2 linked regions of the Caenorhabditis elegans genome follow. The protein of the gene in region 1 interacts with the protein of each later gene in a pairwise test. Each region holds a gene or a part of one and is shown on either strand. Other genes may lie near its edges.

Region 1 (5,704 bases):
AAAAAATCAAAGTAAAACTTAAAAAAATCAAAGTAAAACTTAAAAAAATCAAAGTAAAACTTAAAAAAATCAAAGTAAAACTTAAAAAAATCAAAGTAAAACTTTAAAAAATTTGTATACTTACTGCTCACCTACGTACCTATGTACCTCCCGAGGTGTCAAACTCTTGCCTACCCGCCTTATTATGTATATTCTATTTGGAACTACAGTAGTAAATAGTAAGCTAAAATTATTTTTAAGAGAGGAGACTGAAGCTCCGATTTTTTAAACTCCGATTTTTAAACGCACAATAACTTCATTTTACAAAAAAAAACACGGCTACAAAAAAATTTGGTTACAAGGAATATTTATTCATTTGACTATTCAAACCATAAGTCTCCTTTAGATTGATTGAGAATGAACTAGGAATAAAAACATAACTTTGTGATTGCTCTGAGGCATAAATGTATAGGGGAAAAGGTAAACATCTTGAAGGAAATACAGCAAGTGCGGTTGATGCACAATGGGTATTTTTAGATGAAAAAAAAACTAAAATATATGGCACATTAGGTAAAGAATTATATGAGCATCAGAAGTATTGTAGGCCTGATGCAAGGGAAGGGTGAAGGCGGCATCTAAAATTATAATTTTTGACTGTTAATTTTTCGATATTAAACTCACTAGAAGTTCACAATTTTCTTAACAGCCTTAGAGAACACCAGCATTCGACTTTTCTTCAAATCGTTCCTCTGGGCAAACTTCTCGTGTTCTTCCGCGACTTTCATTTCGAGAGCATTTTTCTCTGAACGAAGTGCAATCATGTTTGAGCGTACATTTCGGAGTGCTTTCATTTTCTGGTCGAATTCCCATTGCTTCATCTCCATCCACTCCTTTCGGATTTTCCCGCTCTCTTCGCGTGATGGAGGAAGACTTCTCAGCTTTTCTAGTTCTTTTTGAACGACAGCCATCTTATCGAGACCTCTTAGCTGCTCAGCCATTTTCGAATTTCCTTGTTCTAGTTCAGCAATTTCCTGGTCACTTTCAATTTTTTTCTCGAGTGCAAATTTCAGACGAAGCTCCAAAAACTTGATTTCCGCGTCTTTTCTTGCAATCATAATCGCTTCTCGCTCATCATGACTAAACTTCAAGAGCTCCTTAGTCTTCAACATATCAATTTTCTCAGCAGAAAGTTGATTGGTTGAATTCAGAGAATCAATCTCGTGTTGTACTTTCATTTTCTCGTTTTCAACAATACGCTGAAATTTGAGAGCTTCTGGATGTTGTTCAGTGGACGGATCTTCAGATGTTAAATATACAACGTTGACCACAGCTGGATCGAAGTCTGGCATTTCGAATTGAGGAGATGGAGGTGGAAGTTGTACATTTTGTGACATCAATGATGGTGTTCCTGGGGCAGCAGTTTTTGAAGAATTCAGATGAGGAGAGCGGACTGATGTATTCTGAAAGACATTTTCGATTCAATACTCAAAGAGATATTCTTACCATCGCGAGAATATCTCTTCCCGAATCGTTCAAACTCATACTCGGCATCGAATCTTGACTCGTCTGCATAGTTTTATTCTGTCGATATTCTGTCAGAGCTTCCATTGTTTGCCCATTCATCGACATTATAGAATTCTCCAACGCAACACGACGAGGAGATTCACGAGCAGAATTCAGAAGAGATCGACGTCGTTTAGAGATAGACTGGTTGATGCTCAAATTGAAAGCCGAATATGTTGAAATCTTGGACGTGTTCACTGCTTCCGAGTCGACATTGTTCATGATTTGCGATGTTTCATTATGGCCTTGGAATGTGAAATTCGCGCCAGTATTCGAGGTATCTAAAACATACTTTTAATAGAGTTATTGAATAAACGAAATTTACCATTTTTCTGCAAAGTCTCATCTCCGAATTGCTCCTGCTCTTTGTTACTGTTCAGTTCAACAGCAATAGACTCATGGACCATGCTAATGTCTTCACACGTTGTAATTTGCATAGTTTTAAGAAGAGTATTGTTGTCCAATTCCATCGAATTGTTGAGAGTTGCACTCGAGTTGTGAAGGGCTGATGGTTCTTTAGTGGCAAGAGAAGCTGACTGTGAAGCAAGGATGACTGGCGTCTTCGACGAACCATCGTCTTCCAACTTTTGTGCTACATCAATCATGGAGGAGTGCATAAAAGCCCTTTCTTCTTCGATGAGCATAAACGACTTTTTGTCGATTTCCGAATGAACAGAAGATTCGTTTATCATGGATACGTTTTCTGAAGCATTTTCCTCTTGCCGCTCGAGAGACGTGTAGACATCATTAGTTGTAGTCACTTCTACATTCGACTTTGGCAACGTCAAGGTTCCATCATTTTGTGTCTCGTCAATGCTCATTTCGTCACCGAACACGATAGATTTCTGCGAATCAATGATCGAGTTGTTCTGAAAGAAATACATTTTTATTGGAAAGTGTGCTTAAAACTTACCGCTCCGATCTTTACTCTGGCAGGACTCTGGAACACAGCCATGGTGTCGTTTACTGCAGGTGAATCTCGAATCACCGAAATGTCCATTAAATCCTCCTTTTGAAGTTGCAAGCCGTCGTTCTGCTGATTACCAGCCTCACATGGTTGTTGTTCAGTGATATCCATATCCATGTCTAAATCTTCCACCTCATCTGCGATACTCGGGTATTTCGTTGATTTGTCAGCGGCTTCAATCGTTTTCTCGAGATCCATGCTGCTCTTACTGACGTGTTTCGGGCTGTTGAACATCGCCATAGTGTCATTTACTAGAACTTTCGGAATAGAAATGTCCATAAGCTGACTTGTCTCGAATTGATCATTTTTCTTCTCCGCGTTTAATACGGCCTGATCAGTGATGTCCATGTCCACAGGTACGACGTTCGAGGCGATATTTATTAGATTCTGAGGAACACCCAAACCCTTATTACAGATGTCTCTCGGACTGTTGAAAATGGCCAAAGTATCATTAACTTGAACTTGTGGCGCCGAAATGTCCATCAGTTGACTTGGCCCGAATGTATCATTTTTCTTTTCTTCAATTAAAGTGTGATGTTCAGTGATGTCCATGTCTACAGGCATGACGTTTGAATTAATCGGAATCCGGATAGCATTCATGGTATTATTTTCATCTAATTTACTCGTATCCATTTCAGCGGCTTCCAAGTTTGTGAAATTGAACACATTCATCTGTAAAATTAAGATAATTTGGTTCCTTCTATTAATTCAACATACCGTTTCATCGCACTGGCCGCCCGCTGCTTTTGATTCATCGAGGTCCATCGGTATAGTTCTATTCATTGTAGCGTTATGCTTCGGAACTTTGGGAATCGTGAAAAGAACTGAACGATCAACTGACATATCCTTATCTTCTTGATTCGTTGTATTGAACATTGCTAAGGTATCATCCAGTGGCATACTAACAATTCGCTCGGTAACTTTTGTTGTGGTTTCGACGATCTTTTCGTATAATAGTGTTGGATCTCTTGTGGTTTCAAACAATCTCGCCGTTTCGTTGTTCTCGTTGATAGTTGTTTCGAGAGACATATCCATAGTTTTATCGAGATTACCACCGCCGAACACTTGAAATGAGGACGTGCAGGCCGGAGATTCGGAAATATCCATGTTTCCGCCACGTGGTCTTAAAAAGATTTTTACGTATTCATTATTTCACGTTAAAGGATGGAACTCACGTCAAAATACCATCTGATCCAATAGTGTCAGTAATCTTCTCCTTAACTGGTGTGGCGTCAAGAATTTTACCATGGTCCCTGTCATACTGCCTGAAATAATTATTTTATTGATAAATTATTCACTGACTCTAACTGACTTGACATGCTTCACGTTATGAAAGCTGACTCGTCGATTAGTTGTTGTGGAACTAGGCCCACTGTTCATGACGGTTTCCTCGATGGTTTCGACGGCTTGCCGCACCTTGAGAATCGAGTTCCGCTTCTTACGAGGCTCCATCGACATGGCTGTAAATATGTTTTAAAAATGGTAATAAATTATGATTAAAAAAATAACAAAACAACGGCAGCATAAACTTCGTTAAATGGGAAAAGTAAAAAAGTGAAAAGTAAACGAAGGCAGTTTTGCTTGGCGGCAAATCTCTGTTTGAAATTGAACTTGTACAATGGAGCGAAGCTGCACTCGACACACCACCGGTTCCGTAGAACGCACACTACGAGTAATTCCTTAACTTGGGGCAGTATAATACAATTTTAATAGTTTAAAAAACCAATTGTTTCAAAAATTAGATAAAATTCAATATTAATAAATAAATATATGTACCATTACAGCTGATACACATTGCAAAAATATTTTCTACGAAATTCGAATTCTCAAAATCCGTAGTTTCTCTTGTGAGTACTGTATTTAGATATTTTTTCAGGCAGATTTCAATTAATTTTTTTTTAACCGTTAAGCTTTATTCAACACATAGAGAATCAGGCGGTATCTCTCCAGTCAGGGAATTCTAATTTTATTTGCACTTCTGTTCCATCTGGTGTAGTTTTATCCAAGAGCAATTGACATGATTTCTGAATCAATCGAGCCAAATTGTGGTGTTCTACGACAGGCTCTAAACCAATACAAATTAAGTTCCCAGAATTTTGTGATTTCTCAACTTAAAGGCAATGGAGTTTGTGGTGGAGATTCTTCAGTGACAATTATAGTTTCCATGTTCTTCTCAGTTGCTGAGAACACATTAACTCGATTCTGGAAAAGTTTTAATGAAAATCTACGTAAAAATAAAAATTACCGGCTTCTTTTTCACATTGAGAAGTTCTGCAGAATACGGATCATCTGATGCGTTCCATTCCGATTCTGTATAATTTTGAAGCGCTTCTCCAGTTGAGCTTGGTGGAACTAAAACTTTTTATTAAAAAAAAAACCGAAAAGTTATATATATTACTCACGGCTTATAGAAGTATCAGATTTACTAGGATTTTCTTCCTTCTTTTTGTTGTCCATCTTGTATTTGAAAATGATTTGTAAAATACATTTCCATAAGTGAAAACTCAAAATTACGTGTATTGCATTTTTTTTTCGAAATCTTTTAATTAAGAAAAAACATCTTTTGAAAAGGAAATAATTTTATTCTTCAAAACGATAAAATCAAAATCAAGAGGCAAAAAATGGCAGAGCAGCAACCAAGCAAAGAAGAAAAGAAAGAAGATAAAAAAGACGAAAAAGAAGAGGAACTACCAGCACCAAGTGTTCAGCAATCTATTCGACAGTTGCCGAAGATTCAAATTACTGATGATGGTAAGGATGAAATTTCAATATTACACAGATGCGAAATTTTGTTAGTTTACGCTGAGAAGTACGGTGCCCGGTCTCGACACGACCGAAATATTTTTAGGCAGCGTTTTTAGTTAGAAAACAGGCGTATGGCTTTAAGGACTACAGTAACCCAACTCCAAGCTATTTTACAGTTTTCGCATCTGGACAATACAAAGTTTAATTTCCAGATAAGGGCGAACAGCTGCCAGAATGCACTGAAGGAGAGTGGGATGCCAGTGATGAACCGTTCTCAGCTGAACTTCTGAACGTCAAAAATGCTCCAGTAAATATTCAAATTTGTAGTAAATCCTTCTAATCATCCAATTTCAGAACAAGGTATCCGTGTTCAGTGGTCCTTATCGTTCCAAAGAAACCATTGAAAAAATCAAAAAGTTCAGAGCAGCAATGCCTCCTGTCATTCCAATC
Region 2 (3,501 bases), on another chromosome or scaffold:
CAATAATAGCTCTTTCGGCTTCTCGAGTCATATAGTGAATCGCGTCTTGATCTCCAAGCCAATCGGACCCTTTTACAGTGTCGTAGAAGTGCCAGCGCCAGTTATCTGGATTCATATTTCCCAAAGCGGCGTTCACACCTAAAAATCAAAATTTAAATTCTGTTCGTATACTTTGAGCGGCTCACCTCCTTGAGCCGCGACTGTGTGCGATCTTGTGGGGAAAAGCTTCGTAATGACGGCAGTTTTCATTCCACCTTCGGAGAGTCCCATCGCAGCTCTCAAACCGGCTCCTCCTGCTCCCACAACAACCGCGTCAAAAGTGTGATCAACGACATCAAAATTGGTGGTTGCGCTCACTTGTTTTCTTTGAAAATTGATAAAATTAGTGAAATGGCGTTAGAAAATAAATTATCTCACTTCATATAAGTGCGAACAGGTGTTTTCGCACGGTTTATCGACTTTACGACATTAAGCATCTTGCTGAAAATACAGGAAAAATATAGAACGTTCAGAAAAACAAATAAAAATCCGATAACGGTTGAGGTGAAACCAAAAATGAGTTGGCCGCGCGAACGATACACCGTAGTTCACACTTTCGGTGCGAGACCCACCGCTCAATTTTTGTTCCTGCGCCTTTAAGTTTGAAACAACTACGGTACATTTTTCTCTATTTATTTACATGAAATTTCTGAAAAGAAACGTTTCATTTGAAATTTTATCGTAAATTTACATCTTCATTTCATAAAATTCCAGAAGAGAAAAACAATACACAAACACGACTTTTAAAAACCAAAGGCCTGTCGTTCATTTTCGAAAACTAACAGTCTAAAAATGAAAACAAAAAAAAAAAGAAAATGATGTTTTATTGATAGGGGCCTAGAGCAGGACACGAACTCGAAGATTAGTTTGCCAATCCATCCAGATGAATGGTATTTACCAGAACCACTTGGACATCCATTGTGGGAACCAATTATCGTAGAATTTCGGTCCAGCGTACTCAGAGTGTTGGCGCCAAAGATGATCACGGGTTTCATTTGATCCCCTTGAGTGAACGAATACCTAAAAAATATGATAAGCTCCAGAATTGTTATAAATTTTTTACCTCAGTAGCAGTTGGATCCCACCACTTGTCTCCGAGAGTAAAGTACACTGGCTCTCCGTACCAGGTTCCAGTCTTCCATCCTGGAACATCCTTCATAATTTCCTCTTCCAGAGCACGATTCTTGGCCAACAATTTGAGCCAATATCTGTCACGCTCGGCAGTCAAGAACGGCTCCATTGCGTTGTTGATGTCAACATCTTCGAACTTTTCAGTGCTGTAAACTTGATATTTTTGGAGATAAATTCACTAGTTATCTTACATGTCCTTCTTCTTTCCTTCAAGAGCAGCATAGACTCCGTAGGCAGTAGCTCCGAAAATGGCGGCGACGACGGTTCCAGCTTAAATTTGTGATTGATTTTAAGAAAGTTTTGTGTTTTGAATCAAAATTTGATAGACAGAAACTTAAAAATAGAATACTGTTTCAACAATAAATTTGATAAAAATGTATTTATTCTTCGCGTTATATTATTTATAGAAAATAGTGTGAAATATCAAAAATTACAGCAAAATAGCAAACTGATCCCAAAATATTATGCTAAAAACGTTCTCTGTCATTTATATTTTATTGCTCAAGACAAACAGCTTTATTTTTATAAATAGCGTCTAAGCCTTTTTATTCTTTAAAGTTTCTTGAGAATCGTTTTTCAAAATATTTATTCTGTATTTCACAGCATTCTTCTCAATTTTTTCGGCGTTTTGCGTTGTTTCATTTCGAGTAATATTTTAAAGCAAAAAAAAACAACTCACGACTCCAGACAAGCTTCGGAAAAGTGCGATGGAAGTTGAATGCACGATAGCCTCCTTTTGGAGGCATATCCTGCCGAAACTCTGCTCCAGTGGCCATTTTACCTGAAAATAATGAATATAAATTCGATAAAAAACCGAATAAATTATAAAAATCGATAATTTCGTTGAGGAAAAAAAAACTTGCAAACAGAATAGAAATTGATAAGTCGGGCAAAATGTGCGGCACGGGAATGTGGGCGTGGTCTTCGTCGCAACACTGCGGCGCACTTTCACAGCGATTTATTATTTTGGCGCGTTTATCTTTTTTTTTTGAAGACGTATTTTGCATTTATCGCTTGTTTTCTTCTTGAAATTGCTTTTTTAATATAAAAATCTGCTTTCAAACAAAATTCAAACTTATTTTCAGTACTAAAATGAATCCAAATCATAATGAAGGCCTCCTCGAGCTGTACACACAAGCAATCTCACTCGAAGCTCTCAAAGACGCTGAGCAATTCCTCGAGAATAGTTTGCTAGGAAAAGATGCACAAGTCGAACGTCTACTCGCTCAAGTTCTCATCGAAGAGCAGCAAATCGAGACGAATCGCAAAAAGATAGCACAATTGAGAATCGAGAAAGAAGAACTGGAATTCGGTGGGTTTTCGGAACTTTTCTGGTTTTATAATAATAATTAATTAATTAATTTAAATTCAGATTGTGCAAATAGTGACCTGAAGTCGTTGGAGCAGATGCAAGCCGAGCGAGATGAGCTCCAGAGGAAGTGCCAACCGGGGCAGCACACTAAATCGGTGAGATAGGGGAGATTTTGAAGCTGAGAAATGCTTTTTGTTATCTGAAAACATTCAGCGTTTCTATTATTATTTTTAATTCTAGAATCACAAATCATCTGAACAACTTTTGAGAATGAAAAAAGAAACCGACGCTCTACGTGCCTACATGAAGAAGATAAGTCAATTCGAAGACTGAAGCCATCAAATGAATCTCTATCAATTATCCCTCAATTTAAATTAATTTCCATTCAAATCGATCTGTTCTCATATTTCCTCATGATGTGATTCTCTAATCTTTTGTACATCTACAAGTTATTTTGTTTTATAAAGCCACATCTCACTTATGCATAGTTTTTGTGTCCAAAACGGAAGTGTTATTGGGAAGAAAAAGTACAACATAAGGGAAGAGTGAAGAAAATCGAGAGACGCAGATATGACTTTTTATTTGCGAACACGAAAAGCAAAGTGACCAGCAGCATTGGACACTTTTCGAGCAAACTTTTCGTCCGAGGAGGAGCTCATTGAGCTTAAGTCTCAGAGCACTGACCATTACTTCGGTCACTCTACTGTTTTGAGAAGCGTTGAGCTCTTTCAATCGTGTAAAAATGTTACCAAAAACTGGATCATTCGATGGGATTCCTAAAAATTTCAGAGCAAGTTTGAGAAGTGAGTATTTATGGTCTCGAAATTTTTTTTAAATCTTGAATTCTTATTTTTGTTTTTCTTTCTCTAGTTACTCCCAGGATTAAACCAGTAAATTAAAAAAATGCACTTAAAAATTCGATAACTTCCTAGAGTAACTTCCTACTGTAAATTTAAAGGCGCATACACAAAATATTTTTCATAACGCGCGGCAAGACCAATCCACTAAATTCGTCCTCC

Evidence for each region.
Region 2: the proteins of knl-1 (region 1) and kbp-5 interact in a two-hybrid assay, tested with the Caenorhabditis elegans proteins (one study listed by BioGRID).

The regions. Positions count from the first base shown.
Region 1 is NC_003281.10:8,248,899-8,254,602, reverse strand, and holds knl-1 (Outer kinetochore KNL1 complex subunit knl-1), read right to left. Parts: upstream 3,972-5,704; 5' UTR 3,968-3,971; coding exon 3,822-3,967; intron 3,775-3,821; coding exon 3,685-3,774; intron 3,633-3,684; coding exon 3,227-3,632; intron 3,182-3,226; coding exon 2,456-3,181; intron 2,412-2,455; coding exon 1,868-2,411; intron 1,824-1,867; coding exon 1,483-1,823; intron 1,440-1,482; coding exon 660-1,439; downstream 1-659. Other genes in the region: C02F5.2 (DUF5356 domain-containing protein), read right to left, coding at 4,441-4,574, 4,621-4,711, 4,755-4,861, 4,912-4,966; C02F5.10 (uncharacterized protein), read left to right, coding at 5,131-5,260, 5,467-5,561, 5,609-5,704. UniProt on the Caenorhabditis elegans protein: Acts as a component of the outer kinetochore KNL1 complex that serves as a docking point for spindle assembly checkpoint components and mediates microtubule-kinetochore interactions.
Region 2 is NC_003279.8:10,685,108-10,688,608, forward strand, and holds kbp-5 (KNL (kinetochore null) Binding Protein), read left to right. Parts: upstream 1-2,255; 5' UTR 2,256-2,262; coding exon 2,263-2,482; intron 2,483-2,542; coding exon 2,543-2,637; intron 2,638-2,722; coding exon 2,723-2,815; 3' UTR 2,816-2,952; downstream 2,953-3,501. Other genes in the region: sdha-2 (Succinate dehydrogenase [ubiquinone] flavoprotein subunit, mitochondrial), read right to left, coding at 1-138, 186-364, 418-476; ndua-13 (NADH dehydrogenase [ubiquinone] 1 alpha subcomplex subunit 13), read right to left, coding at 934-1,059, 1,103-1,316, 1,362-1,440, 1,850-1,946; tag-272 (Structural protein), read left to right, coding at 3,225-3,285.